Linked DNA regions of Lonchura striata. The protein of the gene in region 3 interacts with the protein of the main gene of each other region in a biochemical or structural test. Links are inferred from orthologs where the notes say so. Each region holds a gene or a part of one and is shown on either strand. Other genes may lie near its edges.

What was found.
Region 1: the proteins of plasminogen (region 3) and SERPINF2 form a complex in vitro, tested with the Homo sapiens proteins (2 studies listed by BioGRID, with this or other methods). The link is inferred for Lonchura striata from reciprocal best matches to the Homo sapiens genes PLG and SERPINF2.
Region 2: the proteins of plasminogen (region 3) and THBS1 form a complex in vitro, tested with the Homo sapiens proteins (2 studies listed by BioGRID). The link is inferred for Lonchura striata from reciprocal best matches to the Homo sapiens genes PLG and THBS1.

Annotation. Positions count from the first base shown.
Region 1 is NC_134622.1:6,967,928-6,977,930, reverse strand, and holds the start of SERPINF2 (alpha-2-antiplasmin), read right to left. Parts: upstream 4,331-10,003; 5' UTR 4,253-4,330; intron 3,780-4,252; exon of another isoform or gene 3,666-3,779; intron 3,246-3,665; 5' UTR 3,242-3,245; coding exon 3,188-3,241; intron 2,571-3,187; coding exon 2,514-2,570; intron 1,600-2,513; coding exon 1,185-1,599; intron 913-1,184; coding exon 769-912; intron 605-768; coding exon 401-604; intron 1-400. Other genes in the region: WDR81 (WD repeat-containing protein 81), read right to left, coding at 6,706-7,032, 7,907-8,086, 8,263-8,408, 8,564-9,262, 9,554-9,719, 9,864-10,003.
Region 2 is NC_134608.1:32,091,044-32,100,386, reverse strand, and holds the start of THBS1 (thrombospondin-1), read right to left. Parts: upstream 4,499-9,343; 5' UTR 4,449-4,498; intron 4,287-4,448; 5' UTR 4,262-4,286; coding exon 4,192-4,261; intron 3,470-4,191; coding exon 2,892-3,469; intron 2,410-2,891; coding exon 2,334-2,409; intron 2,087-2,333; coding exon 1,890-2,086; intron 1,717-1,889; coding exon 1,591-1,716; intron 58-1,590; coding exon 1-57. UniProt on the Homo sapiens protein: Adhesive glycoprotein that mediates cell-to-cell and cell-to-matrix interactions.
Region 3 is NC_134605.1:58,090,284-58,100,379, forward strand, and holds the start of plasminogen, read right to left. Parts: upstream 4,443-10,096; 5' UTR 4,362-4,442; coding exon 4,313-4,361; intron 1,133-4,312; coding exon 997-1,132; intron 1-996. UniProt on the Homo sapiens protein: Plasmin dissolves the fibrin of blood clots and acts as a proteolytic factor in a variety of other processes including embryonic development, tissue remodeling, tumor invasion, and inflammation. In ovulation, weakens the walls of the Graafian follicle.

The DNA.
Region 1 (10,003 bases), on a different chromosome or scaffold from region 3:
AGAGAAATCCACAGAAGCTGCCTCTGAGCTCTGTGGTGGGTGTGCAGAGCTGCAAACGACCTGGCTCATCATTTAGGTTAGAAAAGACCTTTAAGATCACTGAGTGGATGAGCAGGGATGTGCCATTGCCTGGGATCCTGAACCAGGAGGCAACGATACTGCAGGTCCCACCTGCTGTGTCCTGGCTCTGCTGTCAAGTAACATTTTTAGCACATGTGAAGCAGTTGGGAATCATTACTGCAAAGAAACCTAAGCAAGAGGAACAGCAGATGCACAAGAACAAGCAGATTGCCTAGCAGGAAGCGAGGAGAAGAGAGGCTGTGCAGCTACAGGGCTTGCAGAAAACTGGAGTTCTAACTATTTCCTCTTGAAAAAAATAAGGAAGGCCTATGGAGCTCACCGTGGAAATAGATGGCATTGAGCAGGAGCATCACTGTGTTTTCAGGGAGCTGCTGGAGGAAGGAGGGAATGTGCCCACGAGTGGCTTCCTTTATCCAGTTGTTTATGGCCGTGAGGTCATCCTGATTGATCCCAGAAAGGGTCTTGGGCTTTGCTCCATAGAATTTCTCTGAATCTTCCAGGAACTTCTTTTTCACCTCAAACCCTGGCAAAGGGGAGGAATGATGAAACAGATTTGCTCAGCATGGTATGACATTCCCCAAGAGGAGGAAATAGGGGAAATGGATGTCTCCAGGGTGCTGCCATCACTCTCTCTGTGACTGGGAGGTTTGTCCTACACCAGTCCAGCCCCCCTGGGCCACCTCTCACCTTTCTGCAGGTACAGACGTGACCCGAGGCTGAGGGTGGACTCTGTGAGCCTCCTGCGAAGGGTGCCCAGCATGTGGTGGAGGCAGGGCACTGCCTCCAGGTGCATCACCTCCAGCAAATGCTTCTCTGTCTGATTTGCTGCTCCTAAAAATCAAATTTCTGTTAGGTCTCATGCCCGTGGAGCGGAAAACAGGGATGTTACTCTGTTAGAAACACGCTGTGCCTCACAAAAGAGGCTGGAGAAATCTGAGAGTCGGAGCCTCAGAGGGCAGCTTCAATTGTAATCATGCCTAATTAAAGCTGCAGGAGCAAGGATAAGTGGAAGGGACTGTATTTCATTTGCATCTGGTTGCTCGTGGCTCTGAGAGAGGAAATGGGGAAGGGCAGAGAGTGGTGGTTTGGCCACTCAGAATTACCCAGAGCCAGGTGAGACAAGGCGAGGGCGATGCTGAGCGGGGACAGGATCACGTTGCTTCTCTTGGACTCCAGCTGCACCTCTCTCAGGAGATCAATGCTGAATCTCATCATGCCATCTGCCAGCCTCTGGCTCTTCTTCCAAGTCATCTCACAGCTTTTATCTCCAGCCTCTCCTTCCTCTTCAGAAGAGGCATTTTTCCCAGGTGATTTCTTTCCACGACAATTCCCAACCCCAGCTACAGCTTCTTCTTGTGAGTTCCAGTCATCCCTCATGTGGGTGGTGGGGAATGCTGACATGGGTCCATCGTTCTCCTGGAAGCTGTCATAACTAAATTCTACTATCTTTCCTTCTGGCAGGGTTGGGATGGCTCCCAGCAAATCCGACTTTTGTGCAATTCCAGCACTTTTCACATCCTGGGGAGAAACAAGGATAACACTGGGAAAGCAAGAGCACAGTGACACCCTCATGGGCTTTCATTGCACACCTAAATGGGCAGAGCTGGAATCCTCTGCTCTGGTGCTGGTTTTGCTTCAGTTTCTCTTTAACCCTGAGAATAATGATTTGAGGGAATGGCTATGGAAAATAGGTCTTGTATCCTCTGAAAATGGACCCAGTGAGGGTCTGGCAGTGGTTCCTCCTCCACTCAGCTCTTAGGAAAGCTTGAGGGCAAGACCTACCACCAGCTCAGCACATATCCTGTGCCTTCAGCATTTACAGATCCATCATCCTCAGCCTTGATTTCATTTCCTCCCCTCACATATTTTAGCAGTGCCCACCTGACTCACACTCACACAGAAGGTCAGACCCTTCTGCTGCTGTCACAGCCCTGATCCAGTTTGGCTCAATTCCTCCTTCAGGCATCTGTGTTTTCTTGACCTGTGTGTTCTATTCCATCCCTCTTCTTTCCAAATTTCCTCATTTTCCACTCTTCTAAGCTTTAGCCTTTAGCACTGCCACTACTCTCCTCACATTTGCATGATCTGAAACATCCCAGGCTCAATGGGTTGGATCAGCTACGGGTCTTTCTCCCTGTCACCATCACAGCTGGTGGTTTCCCTCACCTTTCCTTAGCAATCAGAAATTAAATCATCCACCTGCCAGCCCCTGTACACACCAGTACTGATGGTAACTCCAGGCTCTGCTCAGTTATTTAGGGTGGAGCTCCCAGCCTGAAGGAGCACAGTGTTGGCAGCAGCTGGGAGTAAAGCCTGCAGAAAGATGGACTTTCTCATGGCACTGGCACTGCCTGGGCTCATCCCTTCTCAGGAAAAACTGCAAATCCACAGCCTCACTTCAGCCCCCTTGGGTGAAACCTGTCAGTGCTTACCCTCAGCTTCCCATCTTTGTCCAGGAAGAGATGCTGCTGGTCAATGGCATGTGCCAGCTGTGGGGGTGGGAAAATCAACAAAGAAACAAAGTCAGGTCTCTCTGAATTTCCAGAGTGTGAATTCCCTGCTCCCACTGCAGTCCTGGCTGTAGCAGTCCCCACAAGGCAACAGCACAGGCAGGATTTTGGGATGCAGACCCAGGGATGGCGAGGTCTGACACGGGGAGGTGGAAGTGAGGAGCAGCTGGGAGACACTGCAAACACTGGATTTGTTTAGAAAGGGGTCAGGCCAGCCTGGCACAAAATAATGGATCCTTTTGAGAGTGAGCAGTGGGGTTTTGCAATCTCAGTTCTGACAGGGATCCAGATTTAAAAGTGGGGGGGGGGGGAGGAAAAACCTGCTTTTCAAAAAGCTCCTGTTTACTCCTGAAGGTCATGGTCACCAAATACAGTTGAGGTCAAGTTCCGAAACAAAAGCTTCTACAGAAATGTGAATAATAAGAACATCCACAACTATTTTAGCTGGGTAGAAGATCAGAAACCTTGCTGGTGAAGCCCCCAGCAGTATCCTCAACCTCTTTGCCTTCCAGGGCTTCTCTGGGTGGTATTTGCCCCATGGTCTGGCTCAGGGAGCCACCACCCTTCCCTTGCTCTTTGCTGGAGTAGCAACTTACCCTTGGGAGGCTGTACAGAGCAGCCAGGCAGAGCAGCCCCCAGAGGAACCCCATTTTCCTGGAACAGAAGGACCAGCCGAGAGAGGAGTTATTTCCAGCTGTGAGCTCAGCCTATTCAGGTCTACAGGGAGAAAATTATCAACCTGGCCAAACAGGTTGGCACAGGAGCTCATGGAAAGCAATAGGGAGATGAACAATGCTGCAAAGAAACAACACAGAGCTCCTGGGTCTGGTGCCAAGGCAGGGAAATCAGAGAGGAGCAGGGGCCCACAGTGGAGCTGCAGCTCGGATCCTGCCTGTCTGACCCTGCTGCCCTGGTTTCTCTGCATTGCAAATGGTATTTCCCTAATCAGTGCTGCACACACTGTGCCTCTGGAAGGAGAAAAGAGCCTTTCTGCTCCTTTCCCATGGAAACCACTGGGATACAGGCACAGCATCCTCAGCTGTGCCCCAGGCTCTTGGGAGAAGGGCTACTGACCTGCAGGTGCTCAGCAAGTGCTTTCTGGGAGGGAATTTGCACGTAAAAAGTGAAATGCCAGAGCAGTTTCCCAGCACTATGTCCTGGAAGAGGCAGTCCTCCCCTTCCCAGCACTCATCTTCCCCCTTTGCTGGCAAACCCCGCCTCTCCCCCCTCCGTGCTCCAGTTCCAGTGTGGGACAGGGCTTCCAGGGTCATGGGCAAAACCCCACCCATTCCCTGGCCAACGCTTCACCCAGCTACTTTTCCCTTTCAGACAGAAATAAAATACCTTCTCCTTTTCATAAAGCCTCCATGCCAAAGCCCTGCCCTCTGCATGGTGTCCACATTTAATTCCTGGGGCTGCTTTCCACTCCCCAGGTTTCCTTACTTCACCCAGAACTGCTGGGCTGAGAAGAAGATAACTTGAGGCCAGTTCACTCTTCCCCTTCCTTCACCCCAAATCCTGCAGTCACATAGAACTCCCAAATATCCCTTTTATTCCCTGCTGCTGCCCATCCTTTAACCCTCTGCCAAATTCACCCCTTTCTCCCAGAGGGCCGTTGCAGGAACTCTCATTTCTATCAAATCCTTTGGTTTGTCCCTTACCTGAGGTTGTTCACGTCCACGTTGGAGCTGGCACCTGCTTTAGCCTGCCCAGCAGCTCTGCATGGGGCACACACAGCTCTTGTCCAGCCCCCCCTCCCAGCAGCAACCTTCGGCACCACCCCCTGTTTGAGAATTTGGCAGGCAAATATTGACCCACAGCATCCGGGTAAACATTTGTCTGGGGGAGAAGAATGAATTTGTGGTGCATTTGGAGATGGGGATACACTTTTGGGCTGCTGTACCTTCAAGACAACCTTAACACCGAGTTTACCAGATCCAAAATTCCCCCCCCCAGGCAGAAGTAATTTGCAAGTGGCTCCACTCTGCATGCACTCCTCATGCACTGCTAGCAATATTCTCTTTTATTCATAAACTTCAGTGAAAATGCAGGGCTCGGTGTTTATTGCCACAGGGTTCTCTGGTTTGGGAATTTTCTTTGCTGAAACCCCCAGCTCTTCCCTCCTGGAGTCCCAGCTCTGCACCCAGTGTGAGGCACTGGTTTAACAGAGGGCAGGTGCCCAGGGCAGGCTCTGATGGCCAGGCTGGGCTGAGCCAAGAGCTGCTGCTCCCTCCCCTGGGGCACAGCACGCTCCAGAGCTCTCCCAGGGCAGCTGGTCCCAGTGCCCAGGGCATGCACACACTGCTGGGGCACGCAGGAAAAGCCTTGGGGACGGGCAGAACTCCAGCAGAGCTGCCCTGGGTGGATTTGTGCTGTATGCAGAAGTGATGGTGGATCCTTCCTGCCTCTGCCCGTGTCCTCAGTGGGAGAGGAGTCACTGAGCCCCAACAGCATCTTCCACTCATCCATTCCTCACAGGAACTCTCAGTTCCCAAGCTCACCCCAGACAGATCTGAGCTCTCCAACCACATTTGGGAGCTACTTCCCCTTGGAAAGCAAATCCTGTGCAGCAGAATCCTGTTCTACATGCAGGGCTCCCCCAGAACACAAGAGGAGCCTGAAGGAGAAGGTGTCACTTTGGCTGAGCACCAGGAGAGCTGCAGCCAGCACACCCAGCCCCTCCAGCACAGAGCTTACACACACACACACAGAGCTCTGCAGTTCTTTCAAAGAGTATATTAGAAGTAAATATTTACATCTATTGCAAATGTTTAATAGGCAACACGGGACTGAGAGCTCCCCTTGGGTAGGGAAGGACAGCACTGGCCAAACACTCACCTCCCCAGCTCCCTGCAGGTGGCAGCTGGATGGAAGCCCTTTCCTCTTCCAGGACAACCCACAGCAGGCTCCTCCTCTGCCCCAAGGTAAGAGCTTCCCACTCCCCTGATACTGGCTCTGGCTAGGCTGAAGGATGAGTGGGAAAAGGGCTGACATAGAAGGGAGGAAACTGCTTCTACTGGTGGGGCAAAGAGCACCCTCTGTGCCTTTGGGGTGGGAACAGACAGTGCTGTCCCAAAGGAAAAATCGAGGAGAGACCATGCTGGATTCTTGCCTCCTGCCTCTCGCCCTACAAGGGCAGGAGGGCACAACGCTGAGCACCTTTTTGCTGTCCTGTCTTCCCCAGGAGCCTGACCAGCATGAAGGAGAGGATTAGAAGGATTTATTGAGGATCAATTGCCGGTGCACAGCACACGTGGCATTCCTCACCCCTTATATGATCATGGGATGCTGGGGTAGGAACCAACAGCCCTACCCCACTGCTCCAGAAGCCAAAATCCCAATGGAAGCATCTAGTTCTGGCATCCTTAGAGAGTCACATTCCCAGCCCAGTCTGCCCCTCTGCAGCAGCCCACTCTCACAGAACTGGCAGGGCAGATGGGGTTTGTGCCTTTGCTGGCTTCCATTCCAGTCCTTGCCCTGCAGCCAGCACGGCAGCAGAAGGGCTCTGGTGAGCCTCTCCTCCTCCCATGCAGGCTCGAAGTCAGCTGGCAGAACCTGAAGTTCACAGAGCACCTCCTCTGGGCTCTGAGCACCAGCCACGGGAGGAGGAGATGCAGCTCCAAAGGCAGCAGTTCCCAGGCCCAGCTTCTGCCCTCCCAGTGGGGCTGTTCAGTGGTTCAGGAGAGGAAGGGAAGGGGAAGTGCAGGTGGCAGTAGCTAAACTGTTGTGTTTTGTCAAGGGGCACCTCTTACCCCTTAACTGAAGAGGGGAGGGTACCTGTGGTCCCTATTACTGTGAAGGGCAGCTCACAGTCCCCTGGGGATCAGGCACACATGGTAAGGAAAGCTCCAGGCCTCTCTGCAGGGGTGACAGTGACCTACAACGCCCAATATCTCTCCCAGCAGCAGCGGAGGTTTCTCAGTTATGGCTTTTTCTTTTTTTTTTTTTTTGCTTTTTCAAGATACAGAAAGAGCTTAGAGACATAACAAGTACAGCTCCCCCTGCATCCTCTGCTCAGAAACATCTGCCTCTGCCTCCTCCAAAAGCCACGCTGCTGGCTTCCAGCTCCAGCACAGCACTGCAGGACAGCCACAGGCTGCCAGGCCGGGGGTCACTACGCCAGGAGCCGGATGATGCCGTTGTCCGAGCCCAGCAGGAGGTGGCACTTTGTGGGCAGCACTGCCAGGCTGGTCAATGTACCCCGAAAGTTCTCTGAGCTCAGTTTGGTCGTGCTGGTGGGCAGGGCTGAGGACTCCAGCATGGAGTAGACCCCGATCTTGTTGGCCACGGTGCCGGTGACCACTTCGTTACCGTAGAGGTCGAACGCGTGGATGGGCTCAGAGGCAGATTTGTAGTGGTGCAAAGGTTTCTGCTCCAGCTCCTTCCAGACAGTCAGGGAATGATCTGAGGAGGAGCTGATCAGCACGTTGCCCTCTGCAGCCTGCAGGAGAGGAAAGGCCAGTGAACAGACACTTCTGTAAAAACTCACAATCTGGTGCTGCACATGAGAGCAGCAGGTGGCTGCCAGTGATCCAATGGTCACAGTGCAATCCCTCAGGACAGTCTGAGCTATTTCCAAGCAGTTGATGGTACTGAGCAAAGCCTTGGGTAGACACTGCAAGGTAAAGGATGCTCTGGTAGCTGGCAATCTCTTCCAAGAGATGGGCTGGGCCTCATCTCAAAAATACCCTGACACCCAACACAACTCATTCATCATCTGTTACTACTGCAGTGGGTACAGGGATTACCATGCAGTCTCCCTCTCCACTAAATCACCTGCCAAACTATTTTCCTTCTCAGAGGAAGGAACTGGGAGGCTCTCTCACAGTTGAAAATACTGCTGAGGGTAGGAGAAGCCTGGAGCTGCTTATTAGCAGAGCTAGTGAGAGGGTAAACAACCCACACTGCTGAACTTTGTTTAACCCACATTTGGGTCGAGGACACTGGAGACCCAACACTGCTCCCTGGGGTGGGTAAATATGGACAAGAGTTACTCATTAGAGCAACCCTCACGCAGGGAAGCCCAGAGCCCCGTGGAGAAAGCAACACATTTGCTCCTTCACAGAAGCCATGACTCCTCCCTGCCCCTGCTGCAGACCTGCCTGGCAAGCATTGAAACCCAACAGGGCTGAACTCTGGCAGCAGGAGTTGGACCAAGAACAGCTGGCAGCAGCACTAACCATGGGGCAGGAGAGCTTGAGCAGCCTCTTGGGGACACTGCAAGGGATGCAGCATACAAACCCTGAAGGAAGATTGCTCCACACAGCCTCAGAGCATCAATGAGGCCCCAGCCTGATCCCAGCTGAGCCTCTCACCTTGATCTGCAGGATGTCTCCCTCGTGGGCAGGCCAGCCCCGCATGATGAGCCCCGTCCTGGTGTCCAGCAGCACGATGAAGCCGGAGGAGAAGCCGGCCACGACGCTGCGGCCGCTCGGACTCACGGCCAGGCAGCGGATGAGCCCCGCGCTCACGCCACTGGCCAGGCGGAACTCGTGCTGCAACAGAGACACTCCAGCTGGGGGGTGAAGCTCAGGGGAGCTGGCATTTAAGGGACAAGCTGGTTTCTGTGGAGCCATCACAGCCGGCTTTGGGATCTGGGCTTTGGGCCAGCTGTGATCCCATCATTAAGCACAGGGCTGGAGGAAGGCGAGTCACAGCACCGCATCCCTACCTGTAGTCCCGGCTTCCTGTGGTCGATGAACCTCAGCACAGAGTCTGCACTGGCCACAGAGATGCTGTGATAGGGAGGTGGCATGGTGGTCACAGCTGTGATGGGGACTTTGCTGTCTAACTCATCAAAAGTCCGCAGAAGTTTGCCTGTGAAAGGATGACAGATATTATGGCAGGACAAGTCACACAGCAAATCTCTGCTTCCGTGCTGGTTTTTAACAGGAGCCATCCAAACTCAGCGCAACCCCTGCCTGTAAGGGCTGGACCAGTTCATTCCAGTTCCTCACCCTTTCCCTTCTTACCTGTGAACTGGTCCCAGATGTGCACGGTGCCATCACAGCTCACCACGTGCTGCGGTGCCTCCAGCTGGCTCACGTAGAACACAGACTTCTTGTGCTCGGCGTAGGTGAAGCGCGGTGGCACCTCGCTGGTGCCATCCCCGTAATTGTACAGCGGCCAAAGCCGCACCGTCTTGTCCTTGCTGCCACTCAGGAAGAAATCCTCGCTGCCCAGCGGCGCCACGCACTTGATGGCCCCGGAATGCCCTGAGAAACTCTGCAGCTTGATCTGGTGGAAGTGGAAGCGGGGGTCGTGCTGGCTCACCCCGATCTCGTACTGCCAGTAGGCCAGCCAGTTCCCACACAGCATGTGGGTGCTGCGGGGCAGGTCGCGCTTCAGGGCGCTCTCCTCGCTGCACGAGCTGGGAGCGAATCCATCGGTGCCAGCGCTGAGGCGGAGCAAGCCAAGACCCTCCCGCTGCGTGTCCACGGGCACCTGGATGCGGTTCCCCACCAGGACACTGCCAAAAGTGCCAGAGTGAGTGTCCTCCTGAGGGTTGGAGAAGGGTTCAGCTCCTCGAGGGTCTTGGTCTGAGCCCACCACACTCGGTGTTTGTTCCAGGCCGACGGCCTGCAGGTTCTGGGGATTCACGTTCTCCAGGTGGAGGCTGGCCAGCTTCTCAACCAGAGAGTGGTTGGGCACAACCGTGCGGATAACGTCACCTGAGGAGACACAGACAATGCGGCTGCAAGGGAAGCAATGTCCCCATCGTCATCATCCCCCTCCATACACAGGGATGTGGGCACAGCATCCCCCAAGTCGGCGACATCTGCTCCCAGCCTGAAGTCCAGTGGGCTCCCAACCCAAGAATCAGCCCAAGCCATGCTTTAGAAGCTGTGGGTTTCCCCCAGCAGCCCTGTGAGCAGTGATTGCCCTGGAGTTCAGACCCAGCACAGCATGCCCACATCACAGAGCTCCCTCACAGACCCCTGGAGCTGGTGGCCAAGGCATACCCAGCAAACAGGAGAAGGGGATGTAGGTGATGTAGGCCATCTCGGGGTTGAACACCTTCTGTAACTCCACCAGCACAGATGGATCCAGGGCCAGCAGCTTCCCATCTGAAAGGGGCACCTCCATCACTGGCATCTCACAGCTGCTCAGCGACTCTGCTGTCAACCCCTGGACAAGAAAAGCAAGGTCAGATAAACCCCAAGATGAGATGCTCTTACACACAAACACAGTATTGTGTATAGTATAGGTGTATGCCCAGCACATTCCCACATCTGGGGAAGTGCAGAAGGAGACCTCTCCCACACCACTGACCTGGTTCTGCAGCTCCTGCAGCAGCGAGAATGCCCCAAAGAAGTTCCTCACTGTGTCACTCAGGTGTTGCTGCACCATCTCCTGCCCAATCCGCAGGCAGATCAAGGCAATGAGGCTGATTGTCTTCACACACAGGACAA
Region 2 (9,343 bases), on a different chromosome or scaffold from region 3:
GGCATTGGAACAAGGCATGAGAGGACAGGACACTTTCCGGCATATGGTGGCAGAGTTCTATAAAGAGTTGTGAGAATTACAGTTATCACGTGGAATATAAACAATGTTTGGAGTCTAAGTAAATAATAGGGACTTTTTCTGCAGAACTTTAAGATTCAGTAGCATATCTAAAGCAGAGACCCTTGTATTTAGAGCTAAAATACCACCCAATGGGTAGTCCCAGGTATTTTCAGTCAAACTTCATCTCATTTCCATTCTCACCCATTATTTTTTAGTCAAAAGCAGAAATATTTTGGTTCTGCAGAAGTTTATCGGTAGTACTAGCATATGCTGGCTCAAGTAAATGACTATTATGTGATACCCAAAGTACAAGGTCAGATTTCAAAGAAATGAAATAAGAATGAAAAGCCAATTTTCTCTTCAGTTAATATGGATTTAAGCTGATTATATGGTAAAGAAAAAATGAGTTTAGTGGACTCTGCTCAAGTGCCATGCAATCTCTAACTTATAATTAGAGGTTTTTCATCTCTAAGCCAAACACGCAGGGTAAGAACACCCACCCCCAATCTCAATAAGAGTTAAAGGGCAGTCTGTAGTTTTGCTTCTTGAAGGTAGCACCTTGGTCAGAAGAATGCTCTCATGATTACTATTTTAATCTCCCCAAGCAAATTATTAGATTAAGGCAATTACAGCTAACATTGAGTAAACAGATTGCTAGGAACGAGGCAAATGCAAAAGTCACAATACCATGTGCTGACTACAAGACAAAAGACAGAGAGCTAAAGAAGCAGACACAGAATTTGAGTTGCCTTGTATTGCACATATACAAATACCTGACTTTTAGTTTCTAAAGAGTGGCATGCTAATTAACCCACTTTTTGTAGACTGGTACCCCAAAATGCTTTTGCTAAGGTATACTTAAATGGAACAAGCAAATAAGTTAAAGAAACCCTGAAACTGTACATTTTGTATGTATTTACAGCATTCAGCAGAAGTGAAACACAAAGCTTCAATATCTTGCCAGGTGATTCAGGGATATTAAACAACTGAAATCCAAAAGGGATCATTGTTCCATATAATCTATAAAAGCTAATAGGACACACCTAGAAGCATTTTCTAGATAAAGAAAACATCATAAGTCTCTTTACCAAGTAATTTTTGACCAAATGTCATTTTCTACTAAGTCAGCAAGAGGTTTAGTGAGGACAGAAGGCAAACCTAGAAAAGCTGATAGTACTATACATTTGTTGTGTTGATACTGACTTAGTTTACTGATGGACTTATGTAAAGAATACAGGCATTCCCCAAATTAATGAACTAAAACTGTTAATGGCTGTATCAGAGTGATACATATAATTTCAGTGTTTCATATAATTTTCTAGAATATTGCTGTTTGGACAAGGTAGGGAACCTGCCTTTATATCAGAGATCTAGTAGAATGAAATAAACTGAGTAATTCTATGGCTTCTCTAGTATGCCTAGTTCTGTATATGATTCACTCTTTCTAACAAACATTGCCGTTTAGAACTATCTATTAATTCCACCTTATGAGTTTATATTCAGGTGATTTGTGAATGTGAGGAATCTTACCTGGCAAGTACATTCAGTGCAGCTGTCAATAGTCCACTCCTCTTTATTTTTGTGCAAGACTCCATTATGAATGCATGCTCCAGGAGTGATCTGGACTACTTTGGCAATGATTTCATTTTCTTCAGTCTTGAGGGCAAGAAGCAAAAAGAAGATATTTAGGATTAATACAGAAATACCCTTTTTCACAAAAGTCAAAGTAAAAATATTTTGCTGTTTACATAGCCTCTCAAAAGCAAGGTTATAATTAATTCACTAAGTGCTAGTTAATGAAAGGTACCATGAAGTTGACCACCACTTACCACTTTTCGAACTCTGTCTTGAAGTGTTGTAACCATGGACCGTAGCCCTTGCAGTTCCACAAACATATTTGTTAGTTCATCACAGGAAAATCCACAGACTGCTTGGATGTCCTTTGTTTTATGGCCAATGTAATTAGTGCGGATAGCTGGGCTGGAACCATTGATGGGGTTGTCCAAAGTAATGACTGCACTAGTGGCTAAGAGAAAAAAACAGAGGTGAAGTAAATGCATTTTATATGACATGCATTTATCATTCCAGGCTAACACCTGCTAAACAGCTGCCACTAGATTCATTAGGGTGCCTGCAGAAATATAATCTTATTTCTTATGCAATGTGGATTTGCATGTCAGCATACTTCTGAGTTCTGTTTCAACTTGTCTTTCTAAAGTAATGAGAAATCTTATTTTTAATAGGTCATTGGACTCAGAAGATTGTAAACTTACAACTGGAGCAGCCTTTGTTCCGCAGGATAGTTTCCAGAGTTGTTCCAAACACAAACCGCACATTCTGCAGCAGACCCTGTGGACAGAGAAAGAATTACAACTACTTGCAGCAACTGCAAGGGGAAGAACCACTTGCACTTGGACAGACTGAAGGTCATGCAAGATCTTACAGAGCAATTTCATGACAGACAGATGGAAAAGTGAAATACATTGCTCTATTCTCCTTAATGAAAACCAGCCCTGCTTCCTAACGGTCTTATCCTTGAGCATAAGGACTTGGCAACTCTCCAGGCAGGAAGGAAAATACCCATGGATTTCTGAATCTCATATAAGAAGCTAAGCAATGAAGCTACAACTACCTGTCTGGAAACTTCAGTGCCTTCTCATTGCTGCAGGAAGTTCCATCCCCACAAATCTAATGCTTCACCCTTCAAATTCCATTAGTAAAGTTTAGGAGATTTAGACGTCTTTGCTGCTATGTAGGCTTGTTGAGTAGCTAATGCACCTTCAAAACAGATGACTGAAAATTCTAGGCAAAATCATAAGTGAAAGTCTTACCTGGAAGTTGTCATTGACTCCCCCTTTGGCAATATGGAGCCTGGCACTGCTGGCTAGGTCCCTAGTGAAGATGTTCTGGATGGGGATGTCCAGTTCAGCGTTTTCCATTTTCTCACACCCCACATAGAGCTGAGCTCGGTCCTCCTGCACAAACAGGGTGATATTCTTCCAATGTCCTGTAGCTAGCAAGACATCCTCTACTGACACTAACTGCTGCTTGCCGTCAACAGAAAGGCTCAGGTCCAGGGAGCCTGCCTTGCCATTTGATACTAGACTGAAGACATGACCAGAGCCATCATTCTTTTCCACAGACAGCAGTGTGCCTCTGCTCTTCTTGGCTTGTCGGAGAGTGGCCAGGAGAATGAAGCCCTTCTCAGCATGGATGGCATCTAATAAGTCTTGGAACTTTGTGTCAGGGACAGCAGGGATGCGACTGGCATCTTCAATGCGGTAAGCAGGGCTGGAGGATTCTGGCCCCTTCACCAGGTACACCCCGGGGGCCCGGCGCCCCGCTCCTTTCCGCATGAAGCCAATGAGCTCAAAGAGATCGAAGACGCTATTATCATCATTCCTGGATTCTGCAGAGAGAGATCAGGATAAGCATCATGAGAAAAGGACAAGAGGCTGAGTAGGTGCAAGTTTCCCAGGATTACTTAACGTTTTGGCTCCTGGCGCACATCGTGCAGGGCACAGTGCCTCACATCAGAGCACAGACAGTTAGGTCTGATGGTGCAGCAGTCCCACCAGGAGCTGCTGTGCAGCAGTACATGTGCATTCTTGTACGGGAGCCAGTCAGCACAGGAGTGCCAGGTACCCGCTGACTGACACACAAAGGTAGCAGCCATTCTGGCACCTCATTACACTCCAGCAGCACAGAAATAGACAGCAAAACCCAATCTGCATTATTCCTATGCTGGGACATGGCAAAGTGAGTTTGCACAATCCAGGCTGAGTGACAGCAGCACAGCAGCAGCTTCTCTATAGCACCAAAACGGCAGCCTAGTACCTCATTCCTTCTTCAGGCAGTTCCTACATCATGTTCCTCCTTTCTTCTGCTCAGCGCAGAGGTAGACAAGCTACATGCTCAAATTCTGGAGACTCTGCGTTCCTACTTCTGAAGGTTACACAAATTCCACACCAGAGAGAAGTTTTCTGTTCCCAGCTAGCTCATGCTCAGGTTAAAACGTTTTTGTTCATTGAGAGCTTTGGAGCTCTTTACCACCGAGCACAACTTCATCTGCCTACACAGGCACCAAAGTTATTTCTTCTTGCCCCGGTACCAGCGCAGAGCCGGCCTTACCTGCAGTGCGCTTGGTCTCTGAGCCGCCGAGCACGAGGAGAAGGAGGCAGAGAGCAGTCGCTGGCCCCATGGCAAAGGTCTGTCTCTGAACCAGCCTGGGGACACACACGAGGAAGGTCACCGCGCTGCCGTCGCACCCACGACCGGCGCCGGCGAGGCTCCCGCAGGCGGGACGTTGCGCAGCGGGGACGGGGCAGGTGTCCCCGGCCCCCCTCGGACGGGACAGCGAGAGCGGCGGGAGCCGCTTCGGCACTTACCTCCGGCAAGAGCGATCCGGGCGGTCCGCGCCGGCCTCTGGGTACCGGCGAGCAATATCCGCGGGCAGCCCCGACCGTCCCGGCGCGGGAGGGCGAGCGGCGGGCAGCGGTAGCGGCGCTGCCGGGACTCTGCGGGCGCCGGCCGCCGCGCCCGGCTATAAAGGGATGGCTCGCATTCCTGGGCGCACGGCGGGCCAATCGGCGGCGGCGGGGCAGGAAGCGGGAGGCGGGAGCCGGGCGGCTCCGGGGCCAGGGACAACTTTCCGCAGGGGCCGGGGGGCGGGGGCGGGCGCGCCCCGCGGGCCGGGGGAGCCGCTGCGCCCGGCCGCGCCGCGAGGGGGCGCTGGGCCCCCGGGGCCTCCCGCGCTGCCCGCGGCCCCGCGCGCCGCCCGGCTCCCGGCGCCTTCCCCGCCGGCAGCGGGACCCGCCCGGGCCCGCGGGGCCCGCGCTCCCTCCGCCGGCCGGAGCCCGCCTGGCCCCGCGCCCGCCGCCCGCCGCGCCCGCCGCCCGCCCGGCGTCCCGGCCCCGCTCTCCGGCCGCGCGCACCGCAGCGAGGGCGCGGGGGGCACGTCCCCTGGAGGAGCGGTGCGCCCAGACGCCGCTGCCGCCGGCTGTGCCGAGGCGCTACTGAAAGCATCCTCCACTGAATGTTCACTTAGTGAGACTTTCTCTGCCTGCCCGCTGGTTCCAACACACAGCGCTCAGGACACTGGGTTCACAAAAGGGGAATAAGGGCAATTCTCACTAGCCCGTCTTGCCCGGCCTTGGTGGAGCCGGTTCCCGTGGGGGCAGAGAGGACAGAGGCCGGCAGGCTGGAGCAGTAGGACCTGCTGTCTCCTTTCCACATCTCCTTGTCACTGGAGAAATGTTCGTGGGGATGACCCTCAAACAAATTTGCCTTAGGAATGAAATTACTATCGTTGTAGTGCAGCTGAGACTCTCCCATAGCAGATTTGTTTAATTAATAAAATGACTAACACTACTTCAGCTAAGAATTTCCCGTGTAATATGAATTCCAGGTAACAGGAAATCTAAAGGTTAAAAGGTAGGTTCCTTGCATAATTTCATATTCTGAATGACTAAAAGTGACTTGGGCGTGTGAAACAGCTTTGAGGTAATCAAATTCCAAAAATGGTTAATTCCTCTGCATTCCCTGGCCTTTGTGTGCTTGGCATGTGCTCCCGTGGGAAGTGGAGTGTCAGTGAACGAGAAAGACCTAGTCAGGCAATTGCGTGTGTGGCGAGGGAAAACTGGAGTGAGCAGTGACTGAGTTGGACTCTGAACTGTGTAAAATGCATCAGACAGTTGTGCTGGCTAATGTATGAGGAGGAATTACTGCACTACAGATTATCCTAGGAAATGCTCTGGGAAATTCTTGACCCAAGGAATGAGAGACAGCTGCAGAATTGTGTATATTAGGGCAAAGCCAAATCTATTGTCTGCCTTTTTAACTTAGAAGATAGAGTATACCATCTGAAGTAGGTCTTTTTACTGTACAGTGATTCACAGAAGAAAAACCTCAACCATCTCAAGATAAAGAACTGAGAGAGAAGAGAAATTATGGTGATGATGAGAGCCATGTCAGTAAAAAAACCCCTAAAAGATCAGCAAGAGAGAGAGCATGCAAGATAGATACATGGACTGCTCCAACCTGGACAGGTTTAACATTTTATGCTAGTTGAGATAATTTTTCTCCCTTCTTGCAGTCAGTATTCTCAGCATAAAACTGAAGAGCATAGTGAATGCAGTATCATATCACAGAGTATTTTGCTTCTGTAAGTATAATGGTACAAAAAAGAACAGCTTAACTGTTAACTGTTTGCTGGATAAGGAATTGGTGGATGGTCACATCCAGTGGGTGGTGGCTGGGGGCTCAGAGTCCTGATAGACATGAGTCCTTCAGGGGTCGGTTCTGGGACCAGTTCTATTTAATGTCTTTCTCAGGTACATAGATGGAAGATCATCCAGTTTGCAGATGACACCAAGCTGAGTGGTGGAGTTGACACACCTGAAGAATAGAACACCATCCATGTGGACCGGGACAAGCTCAGGAACCAGTTGATGGAAATCTCATGAGGTTAAACAAGGCCAAGTACAGGGTACTGCACCCAGGTCAGGCAACTCCCAGTACCAACACAGGCTGGGGATGAACAGGTCAGGAGCAGCCCTGCCCAGAGGGACTTGGGGGTGCTGTGGGTAGAGGCTGGACATGACCCAGCCATGGGCACTCCCAGCCCAGAGAGCCAAACGTGTCCTGGGCTGCATCCAAAGCCCCGTGGGCAGCAGGGCCAGGGAGGGGATTCTGCCCCTCTGCTCTGCTCTGCTGAGAGCCCACCTGCAGGGCTGCACCAGCTCTGGGGGGCCAGCACAGGAAGGACATGGAGCTAGTCCAGAGGAAGCCACCAAGTTGAGTAGAGGGATGGAGCACCTCTCCCACAAGGAAAGGCTTAAAGAATTGGGATTGTTCAGCCTGTAGAAGGCTCTGGATTGACTTTATTGTGGCCTTTCACTACCTGAAGGGAGCCTACAAGAGAGCTGGAGAGGAACTTTTTACAAGGGCGTGTAGGGGTGGGAAAAAGGGTAATGCCTTTGCACTGAAAGAGAGTAGATGAGATACTAGGATGAAATTCTTTATTCCATCTCTATAAGGCCAGGCTCAATGGGGCTCTGACATGAGGGCCTGCCCCCCCCACTTTATGGCTATTGTAAAAAATTAACCCTGTCCCGGCTTGAATCTAGGACAGTGACTAAAGTCAGATGAGAAGGATCGCACAATTTATGACTTTCTGTGGGCTATCCTCTGTTGACATTTATTGTCCTGACAGTAAGGAAGCTAATGATTGCCTACCAAGGGCGGGTAGACACCTGTTGGAGGAGTGTGGATTTCAATGCAGGGCATAACCCTTCCACTCTTGGGTGGAATTCAGGACATTGCTGTTTTGCATATCTGTGCCATGTCTGTGAAAGAATCATTCTACATTCATTCAACAGTTATTCTAGTCTAGTCTAATTTGGAGTAAAAAAATACTTTGGTGCATATATTCTTGAATACCTTGCTTGTTGGTGTTCTTTTATTTTGCAGGAATATTCTGTGTGCTAATTACAGCTGTAGTCTGCCTGCATACACAAGGCTGATTGGGTATCTTTTTGTTTTTGAAGATCTTCCATCAAAATCAGACCTTCTCCCATACCAAAAAAAGTGTGGGAAATTGCAGAGTCTGATTAATGGTTAGCTAATTCATTGAGCTGAGCCCTTACACCTTAAAAAATAGAAATGTTTTAATTTCTTCTAAATTGTAGTGGGTGTACAGCACATTTGTTTATTAGGAGTCAGATTTTGGGGTTTGCAAAATGTACTACAATTTAAAGAGAAGAATATACTTTAAAGGGATTAACTAAGTGATAAAATTTTCTGGCAGGGTTGCATATACTTTTGTACCAATGTAATGCCAGTAGCATATTTTTCACCAGAAAAATAATTTAATTTTAAATAATTTAATTTAATTAATTTGTAATTTTTAAGGCTTTTTTTTCCTAGAATGAGAAAGCATTTATTTTAAAGAAATATTTAGAATTTGCATCATGAGCCAAAAAATACCCCCAAACTCTATTCCTGAAATTAAAACCAAGTTGGTTTCTTTTGTCTGTGAAGGAAAAAGAGGAAAAAGAGGGAGACCCTAGTATTCTCTATCACAAGACTTTTTCATGTATTTCCTTTGTAAGCAGCAGATGAAAAGTAACAGTAGATACAGGCATCTAGTCTCTGCCTCAGTGAAGTATTTCTAGTCAGTGAATCATTAGAATATGTATTCAAATTCAAGCACATGGTAGAGTTTCCTTGGTTTTCATTAGAATTCTTGTGGACATACTTGTGGACATGCGTTTTAGATGTTTTATTCAGCAGAGGTGACCATAAGTACATGTTTGTACATTTATATACTGGGACCTTTGAGCCTCTAAAGTGAAAGAAAGCTGTTCATTTACATCCGTTAGCAATCTGTGTCCCAGTGTGTTTTTGTGAGTTGTAAACAGGCAGCTGCAGAGCTTTTACTCCTCACACATAATCACAGATAAAGTGAAAAATAGATTTAACTTTTGTTCACCTCTCAGAGCATCTCTTGTCTCCATTAATTTCATATTACACAATCAGGCAGGACTGATTATGCACAAGACAGAACATACACATTTTGCCACAACATGAAACCTCACTTGAGCAAAATACCATATCATGTACAAATCTTTATCCTCTTCTTTCCTTCTTTTAATTAGGCAGAAGCAATCAATTATTTCCAGATCCAGTAGAACACTCTTAAAAATGCTGTTAATTACTTAATATTGCATAATATCTTCCAATCATCAGGAAAAAAGGCATTGAAAGATCTGTGCAATACATAGCTGGGTGTTGCTGGTAGTCATGTGGTAGAAAAAACAAATAACTTGTATATTAAAAAAGGACTGTTCTGTCATTACACAACTTGAAAGATATGTGTTTAAAATAACTAAGAGAATTGATGAATAAACAGTAATGTGCTCATGAGAGGGAAGATTAACTTTGTGCTAGGAAGTGGTGTGCCTGGAGTTTCTTAAAGGCCAGTTGCTTAAAATGGAATGTCTAGAAGGGACAGAGAAATATAAAATAAAAAACCTGGTTGGTAATTTCCAATGTCCTCTCTGTGTTATTGCAATATGTGTAGCTCTGCTTTTTTTCTATTTGCACAAAAACTATTAGTGCAGTCTATCTATATTACAGTCTGTGTTATGAACTTGGTCTAGAGTTAACAAGATTAGACAAAGGATGAATTTCACAACTGAGCAGTAAAAGAAAGAATTTAGTCATTCCCTTATTCTGCACGAGCTTCTGTGCAGTTTGATGCAGCAGCACATTAGGAAGTACA
Region 3 (10,096 bases):
TCATGCAGTCAACAGACCCCTGTCATCCTTCAGGGTTACACCTTTTTAAAATAAGCCTCATTTGCTCTTTAATCTTAAACCACAAAGTTACAAAACACATTTAAGAAGCCAGCACCAATGTATCCGTGCCCTGAATAAAAGCATTAAGTAGAACCAAGTGCTTGAAACTGCTGAGTTCAAAAAGCCATGCTGCAGAAGTGCTGGACTGGGAGAGGAACCCCCTCTGCCCTGTGTGTGTGGACTGCCTCCCACCGCAGTAATGGACATCTCACTGCCTCAAAAGAGCTCAGTTTCCTGCTGCACTGCTGGAGCTCAATGGGCTGCAAGGCTTTGGCACAGGAGATCCAGAAGCCTTAGGCTCAGAGCAGCAGGATCCAGTGGGGCAGAAGGCTGAGCAAAGACCAACAATACAGGGTCATCAACACCCTTCATGCTTTCCAGCCCCTTGAGCCTGGGTAATGCAAGTGCAGGGAGAGGACTTGGCTGAAAGAAGGTTCAGGTCATTAAGGTTCAGGTCTCTTTTTCAAAGTAAATAGAAGTTACCTAAGTCCAAATTCTAGTAAAATTCTGAATAATTGATTTATCTGCAATATAATGAATGCAATGAAAATAAGCAATGCTATTATTGCTGTCCTAGATTTCCAAGAAATTAATTATGACTTCTTGTTGCAGAAGGAGTGCAAGAGTCTTGATAAAATCATGTCACGTTGGTTTGCAGCATGTCAAGCTGTGCATCAAGCTGTGCATCGTAACATTTTTCAATAAAAATTCAACATAACTTTCTTAATTTGTCTATTTTTTCTATCTTCATCTTCATCTTCATGTCCATCTATATGCAGTACAAGAATTCTGTTTCTGCACATTTTTGTTTTCCCAGCAAACCTCAAACCCCCACATAGTCATAAGGAAACCCTTGAAAGTTCAGATTGTGGATAAAAAAAGGCATATTTTTCCATCACCTGCAATGAAAGACATGTGGGAACCAGTGGAAATTACCTGCAAGGAAACTTTTCTTCACTTTCACATTTCTCTGCACATTCTTCATCACTATTTGCTCTATAAACTTGTTTCATGGGGTTGAGCAACCAAGCTCCCTCTGTTCTCACATAGTGGTCTAGGATGCTTCCTTGCACTTAGAGGAAAAAGAGAGAAAAGAATGAAAATGGGAATGATGATTTGCTTTATTTTAAACTCCCATGTTAAATTCTTTGTCGCCTAGTCATATGACATCATCATTTAATTACTGGAATAATTGGGTTAATTGTGACAAAATATGGGTAATATATAATGCTTTCCTGGTATGGCAAAAAGTAGCATCACTGAAAACCCAGGGTAAGGCAGGACAGAGAAATGGCTTGAACAGTGATAACACAAACCTATAGGATAAGGTAATGGGGGCACAGAAGATGAGCCAAGGAGCAAAAAATATTTGAGGTGTTTCAGAAAGTAAATATTGGCCATGCATACTTTGGACAAAGCAGAGAAATGGTGCTCAAGAAAGACGTGAAACAATGTTTGTTCATTGCTGTCCATCCATCCACATGGAATGACTTGAGATTTATCAGTCACCTCCTTTCAAAGGCTCCTACTCTTAAAAAAATCAAACCACCCTCAGTCACTGGGGTTGTCAGTTGTTCAGTTTGTAATAACCCTGTACTGAACTTACTTAATAATCAAGACAGCAGTTGTTGCCTTCCATTGCAATGAATTAAAATAAGACATTAAAGAGGTAAGTAAATCCACCTAACAACCTCTGGTTTACAGCTGCATGTCAAATATATAGGAATCTAAAAAGTACAGCTATTTTTAATGGTAAACTCAAAAAGTGTTCCAGAACACTCCTCCTTGTAAAGGACTTTGGCATTTAGTATTTTTCTGTTACAGCTCTGCAATCCCAGAATTAGTGCATAGCACAGTGATTTTCATGACTTCCAGCTGCAGGGTCATGGAGTTGCACGAGTCCTGTGATTTTTACAGTTTCTTTATCAGTGGAGCATATGACTCTTCTGATGAACATTTGGCCCTGGGAGTTATCTGTTCTGTAGTGTTTCAACCCCAAACAGACACCCTGGCCCCTGGTCACTGCAGGACATCTCAGTCAGCTTTTGTGCCTGGCCTTACACAATTGCTGAATAAAAGGCAGACAGGGGATGAACCAGACCATGACTGGAATCTTAGGAATAACAGCCATGCTGCAGAGAGGAACTTCTTCACTTTCTCTGACCCCTGTCTGTCTCAGCCATGGCCCAATGCCAGCAGGAGGGACAAAAACACTCCATGTCCCACTCAGACCCATGCCTGTGAGCAGGGGCTCCACTGAGTTGTTTAGTGATGTCTTTCGACCTGAGAAAGGCAACAGCCCCTCCCTTTCCTGAGTAACACTCTTCAGTAACACTCTTCAGCAGGCTCACGTGTCCTGTTATTAAATTCCTTCACTTGAGAGATAGCTCAGCCTGAAATTGGGTATTTTCTTAAAGATCATTTTGCATCTACAAGTTGAAGCTGGTAAAATACGGATAAAAGCCAAGTTATACTTCCTCACATACAATTGCAAAAGCACAGAAGTTACTGCAAGGGTTTTTCTGCATTTAGACTAGGGAAGAGTTTGTCCCTAAGGGTTGGCAGTTACTTTAACAGTATGCATGGAAGAAAATGATAGCTGCTGGAAAACAAAAGAATAAGTGAAAAAGAGTCCAATGACATTTCCACTAGTTATTTCAAAACAAAAACATTGAGAAGAAATGAGTTTTGAGACAAAACATTAAACTAGGTTAAGACAATATCATAGAGATGCTGCAATGCTCACCACAAAGAAAAGAAAAAAAAAACAATTCCTACTATGGTACAGTTTCCATGCAAACTTAATTCTGTCCTGTTTTGACATTTTGCAACAATATTGTCATTATTAATACAACATTTGATTTTAGAAATATTGACAGGTTCATAATTTATTTCAGTCATAAAACTATTTCTCCCCTTTTCTGTTGTATTTACATGGCAGGGCATTATTGTGGGGAAAATAGAAAGGAAAATATGCAAACAATAAAAAAGCATTAAATTTTCATGCTACCATTTTCCCTATGTCTATGATGTTTTACAGACACAGAAAGATGTATTACTATCTTATTCAAAAATGCAAATATTTGCTACCATTTGATAAAGGATTTGCAAACAAGAGTATAGTATTTCAGATAAAAGCCCAAATTGTATCTTTTTCTCCCTCATATAAAATTCCTACTTAATTGAGGAAAGTATTACAGAGGCTATTCTTTTGCGAAAACAAAGCTTAGAAACTAGAATTTAAACCAAGATAAAAATTCTTAACATTAAATAACAGATGTTTTTTTACATTGGGGCACGTCTCTAATATTTCCAGCTAAAATATACCCATATATTTTCCTAACTGTTACTTTTTCTTATGTTTTAAAACTGCACATGTAAAATTTGTTGTATTGTATTGCACATGTTTAATTTACTGTATCTTTATATATGCATTAGTACACTTATAACTGTATTTTTTACTACAATAACAACATACTGTGTGGTTATATAGATGCCTGCAAGAAGCTGTGTGGTCTGAATCTCACAATTCACTGGAGTTTAAGGTTTTCAGGACAGAGAATCTGTATGTATGAAACCCATGTAAACATAACTAAAAAGCCCAATTCAGATCTTGCGTATCCCAAAATTTTTGTAGCATCTTCCACAAACACATGTTTCTGTACCAAAAATATTCCAGAAAGTAACAGTGATCAGATTTGGTCTTCCTATCACATGGAATGAAAAATTCACAGTTAAGAATGTGGTTATGAAAAAGACTGAAATTGCAGTGTGTACAAGCTTTCCTTTCCTGTATGATTCTGTTTTGCACAAGTATTAACAAAACTTTAAAGCAATCAGAATAAGGATCACAGTAATTGGAAATAACATATGAAAAAAATCCCCAAACCTCAGATTAAAGGCTGCTGAAACCAGAGGGAGCCATGCCTTTGGCAGGCTGCTTCCCAGGGGTGCCCCTGTCTCTGGCCATGGGAAACGTTTGCTGGGAGCCATTAACTGCCCATGCAGACACCAAGGCTGCTCCTTTTCTGGTGAACATAACTCAGGAGCAATGTTCTACTGAACATAACTCAGGAGCAATGACAGCTCTCACTCTATTCTGCAGCAGCTCTTGCTGCCCAGCAAGCCCCAAATCCATCATTGTCCAGGGGAGTTGTGACACAGAGATTTGGGGACCTACCTTCATCACATAGAGCTTGCAAGTGTCTGGCCCCAGTCTCACCTAGGCAAGCAGAAAGCAAAAGATTCTTACCTGAGCTGAGAAGGAACAGAAGGAGAAAGGCAGCTTTGCTAATCCCCATTTTGGGCCAGCTTGGAGAGTGCTGGAAGTTGTGTGTGCCAGTGCTCAAAGTTTTATTGACTTGCACTGGAGTGAGGCAGCATCAAACAAACAAGGCAGGAGGATTAAGTTAATCATTCTCCCATGCTGCTCCCCCCTTGCCGTGGTGTGGCTGTTCAAACAACCTTGAATTGGATGGATTACCAAATCAGATTCAATCATTCCTAGTGGATGCTATTAAATGCAAAGGCACTCTCTTGTTTTGCAGGATATGGTTTGTTCTCAAATGGTTAGGTCTTTCTCTACTAGAGAAAAGACAGGAATAATATTGCTAGAAATCATGTGTCCAGGCAGTATCTGAATTTCTCTTGATATTAGAGTCCCAATAGTAAATTCAGCCACGCATACCTGTATTGATTAATAAGGAACAACTTCTATTTAATCTCATGGTAAGCATGTTTATAAGATTCAGATATTAACTCTGTAAAATAGTTTAATTTTACTTCTTTATTAAAGATTCAGTTTCTGCTGTCTCCTTGCCTTAGAGTTTTCCTTTTTCTTCTTCTATTTGGGAGTAGGACTTAATTTCATTTAAACTTCAGATTTAAGAGGACACTCTAAACCTCAAACATTAGGTTTAAGAATCATAGATAGCAATGTAGTGCTCTTCCTTACCAGACATTTAACTTCACACTGCATGCACAAACTTATCCAGTGAGGGTGTCAGACTTTGTTCATCTGTGTGTTATCCTGATTTCAACATCAGCTCACTCTGCATTTCCTAAGCAGTCTTTACCTTGGAAAAGTTGCACTGCAGCACCATTTCATGGCTTCTCTTGCATGTTAACTCTCTGCTGTTGCTTCCAAACAACTTACTGAATCAAATGTGCTAGTGACTCACCAGAGGAAGGAGCAGGATGAATATTGGATGGGGAGAACAGACTTGAATGCACACTGCTGGATCATGCAATTAAATCTTCTGCAACTGGAGGCCGAAAGTTTGCAGAATTATGAATTGCTTCTAAAAACTAATGAGGCTGTCCACTTCTGCATCATCCTGCCTGCTTTAAGTAAAAGTTACACTGTATTGAGGGCTTGGAATAAAGCTTGGAGTGCAGGGGTAAATATGTGAGAGAGGCATGAGCATGAGAACCAGACTAACTTATATTTTACTGATTATGTGAAAAATTTAAAGCTGATTCTGCTTGTGGTCCTATACAGTTTTTCTCTGGTTGGATAGTATAATACCATGCTATTTGGTTGTTTTCTGTGCTTGAATCTGTTTAATGCAACTTGTGAACAACAGCAAAGCATGGGATATCTGTAGAGGCTTGGGATATCACTGATGTTAGTCCAGGGAAACAAAGCAGATGGGCCAAGGAGAGGAGCTGATTGGAGCTGGACTCAGCTCAGGGAAACATTTGAACGGTGTCAGGGAGAATGGGTTGGATATAATGCAATCACATGTGGGATCAGGCTTATCATGTATTAGGACCAGTTACTCATTGGGAAAGAAGGGTAAAACAAAGGAGCAGAACACCAAGTAGGCTTTACTAGCTAGTAGGCTTTTGAGAGGTATTCAAGCCTGGTTTAACTCCACATTTTTAACGATCAACCTCATTTTCAATTCTAGATCCAGATCCTGGTTTGCCTCTCTCCTGCTCTATAACCCCTGACTCCCTGGCTACAAACAGCATCTGCTCACCAATCTCTGCTTCCTTCCCATCAGATATTATGACACAGTTGGTCTTTTCCTTACTCCAGTGCAAAATTGCTTTTCTGCTGAGCCCTGCCCTCTCCAGCATCTTTGATACCTTCCCCATTTTCCTGTATTTCCCATTTCCACTGAGGTAGTCAGTGGGTTACTGTGCTATGGTGCACATCTGGTGGTAAAAGTCTAAGAAAAGAAACTGTGTAAGTGGGTAAGTGCATTTGTTTCTGCTGCATGGAGAGGTTTGAAAGGCTGTGAGTCTTAACTGAGTTTGTAAAACTCATCAATAAACACAATGTGTTAGAGATTTAAATCAGATTAGATTTTCCTACTGGTTTTCAAAACCAAAGAAGCTAAATGTGGTACCCAAAGGTTTGTTACCACAAGTCTAGGAGAGTTTGGGAAAATCTCCATGCATCAGGTCAGCAAACTCTTTTGCAATCTTTCCTCATGTTAAAAGTCTATATATACTCCTTCACAATATGCCTAGCTGTTGCCAGTTCTAGGCTTGGCTCTGATTCTTCTCTCAATCTCATTGTCTCAAGTCTGATTAAAATGGACCTACATTGGTGTGAGTGCTCTGAAGAAAGCAAAGAACACTCATTGCCATTTCATTCAATGCAGATTTGAAGAAATCTTATTAATCTCTGTCTAAATTAATCTGATCCTGGAAAACTGGACTTGAGGATACTGTTAGCAATTGCTCCTGGTACAAAAACAGCCATTCTGTATGTTTTGCACAAGAAAATGACAAAACAGAGGTGTCTTTTATCTGCCACACTGGCATTCCTCACTGTTGTCTTGTGACAAGGATGTGACTTGTCAAGGCATTATGTTTGACAGGATCCTTGTAAACTGCTGATTTATCCTTTTGTGTCTTTCCTTCTTTCCTCTTTCCCCTCATAGATTCACACAGTATCTAAATCTCTCTCCAGTTCTAATCTTGTGGTGTTTGTTCTCATTTATTTGATCACTGTGAGGATCACCCATAGGTGGAAGTTTATCAGATCTTATTTCAGAGTCAGGGTACACTGGTTAGCACAATGGTTAAAATATAAACAGTAGGAGGCTTTTTAAATAGAAGTTGACCCTTGAAATTGGGTTTACTGTAAGTTCAGAAAAATACCCCCCAAAAGTAATTGCAAAAAATGTCAGAACACAGAGCACATTTTTAAAAAATAAATTCCCTTAAACATAAATTCTCTAGATTTCAAAATCAGGAAACGTCAGAAAACAGACACTGAGATATCACTTACTTGCTAGGAGGAAAGAATCAAAGGAAAAATTTCATTATCTTTAAATATCTTCAAAGGAAGGGAAAATTTCAAAAGGCATCTCTAAGGTACTGCACATCCACAAGACTGGGATGAACATGAAGTAAAGGAGTTCATGTAATTGCTCCAAATAGTAAAGCCATGGCATAGAGCCATGAGCAGCTGGGAAATAAGGAAGGTACTTCTACTTTCTTTTCAAATGCCAACAGAAAAAGTAACAAAAGTAAGACTTATATAGCCCAGATCCACAGAGCCAGAGGGGTCTTCGGGCAGCAACCCCAGATGGATAATGTGGATGGCTTCTAACAGCAGGTGCTGCTGAACGTAAGGTAGGGAGGGGTTCTAGAGGAGGAAAGGTAGCCAAGTTAAAAATAAATTCTGTACTTGCTCTGCCCATGAAAGAACACAGAGGGTAGAACATCTGGTAGATAAACTCATTTCTGGCCACAGATGCTAATGGATCTAAGGTAAGGAAAATGACAACAAGGAGATACAGAGAAGATGTTTCTCCACTAGTGAAAGCTTCTGTCTCTAAAACATTAATTTGTTCTGGCTGCTGCCAAACGTAAGAAACCAGAAGAATAAAGTCAGACAAATGAGAAGCAAGAAGTGAGCCGAGTGTCACCTTTATAGCAGAAAGATCTAAAAAATTAATTAGTACAATTTCTGTATTGCTGAAAAAGTATCTGGAAATACAGGGACTGTGCATTTACCTTCAACAGAGGTGTGCAGAGCATTAAAGCCATAGAGAATCTAACAGCCAGAACTTAGCACACAGTGTGCTCTAAGTCTTTGCACGTGAGGGACAACTGCATCATACTGCTGCTAGACAAGAGAGTAAAATCATTCTTCATTTCCTAGACAGAGAACATCAGAGAAACCACAGCTAAGCTAAAGAATTACGGACAGCAGAGGGATTGTGCAGCTTTGAGTCCTGCTTGATTATCCCAGCCCATAACATCCAGCACTAGCACTGCTTTGGAAAGTGGTTCAGCAAAAATGCTATGGTGATCTGCTGTAGCCTGCTACATGTTTCTGTCAGGGGGAGCACATGTCCTGCACCCAAACTTGTCCTTCCTTGATTTTGTTATTCTCCTGCTGTACTGCTGTCACCACCCTGCCTAAAGAGTGCTACCCACTCTTTACACGTGGAGCTGCAAAACACAAACAGAGAAGCAGCACGTAATAGGGCCTGAAATGCAATACATATGTCTGATTTTCTTTTTAGTTCTGCTCTTCTTGGGACAGTCTGTAAGAAAGTGAGAATCCTTTTGTATTCAGGCTCCTCAAAGACTGGGGCACACCGGGTCATTGCTGCAGTTCCTTGTGATTAGCAGGCAAGCAGTTCCTGTCCCTGCTGTTCCAAGTCACAGGACTCAGCTGTGAGCTGTGCTCTGGAGCCCATGCAGAGGGAGGGTTGTTGAACTCTTATCAGTCCTTCCTCTGACACCTAATGGTGCAACTTAACTCTTTCACCACTCTGCTCAAAATGTTTAGAGTCACTGGGGAATCCTTGGATGAGGGTAAGGACAATTTGGCAGCAGAATGTGGAAGAGAAAATGAAGAAAAGAAGCATAACTATCATTCCATTTCTGGTTAGAAAAGCAGACAACAGACTGTGTGGAGAAATTTTGCATTTTACCCAACAGTTGTTCAAGCGCTTCCAAAGACCCCTGCAAATACCTACTATTTTCAAGGTGCTATTCTGGTCTTTTTCTACACACTTGGGCAGTTTTATACAATGATCAATGCTGCAGTGTTTTGCTAACTGATGATTCCAGTTAGTGATGAAATCAGCTGTCTAGAAACATCACTGAAATAAGATGAATGTTTATAGTTCTTTACTTTTCTGACAGTTTCAGAAAAGAGGGACAAGCCACCTCCAATTTCCACACAAAGTGTATAATGAAATTTCCAAGTGCATTTTCTGCTTGTCACTTACATATAGGTTTATTTCCATGCTTATTCTTAGGTCATTAACTTGCATAAAGGAAGGATGTTCGAACCAATTTAATCTTATTTAAAGTAAGTGTTAAAAGGGTACGGCAAAAAATGATGTTAGTGCTCCATTCAGGGCTGTTTGGAACAGGATCAGTTCAAGACACTTGAGACACAGAGATTTTCAACAATATGTCAGCAAGGTGAGAATATTACCTTCAGTTTTAGTTTAATATTTTACAAATTGCATGTGTGTGTGTGGGCATGCATATGTGTGAGTGTATTTATGTGTGTGAATATAACCTACTATAACATCTTTGTTTACAACCAGTTAATAAAAATGTTAATACAAGTTCTAGCTTAATAGATTTTGTATAAAATTCCTCTATTCTTTAATGATTTTTATGTTCCTATGCAAAAAGACCTTGTCATTATTTTCCACTGCCTGCATTTGCTGAAGACAACATTAGAAAAATTGATTGGTTCTTTTTTTCTGACTCCTATGTAAACTCCCAAGTTGAAATTTTGTATTAGAAATAATGGAAATTTGCTGATCAGCTTTATTATTTGCTCCTGTTATATTTTAATTCAAAGCAAACTACTGAAAGATATGCCATTTACATGTGCTGTGTGTCCCAAAGACTGTAGCATAACATGTTCTATTTTTGGCATAGAAAATGCAGAAATATGAATCATCACAAACAGTGGGGTGGAAGGTGGATGAAAGTGGGGTAAAAATTTAAACAGCTGCTGTCACCAACTGGATTATCTTAATAAATTTTTCCAAGCTTGTTTTTCAAACTCCACAAGACCTTCCCTAGTTGCAGAGTATCC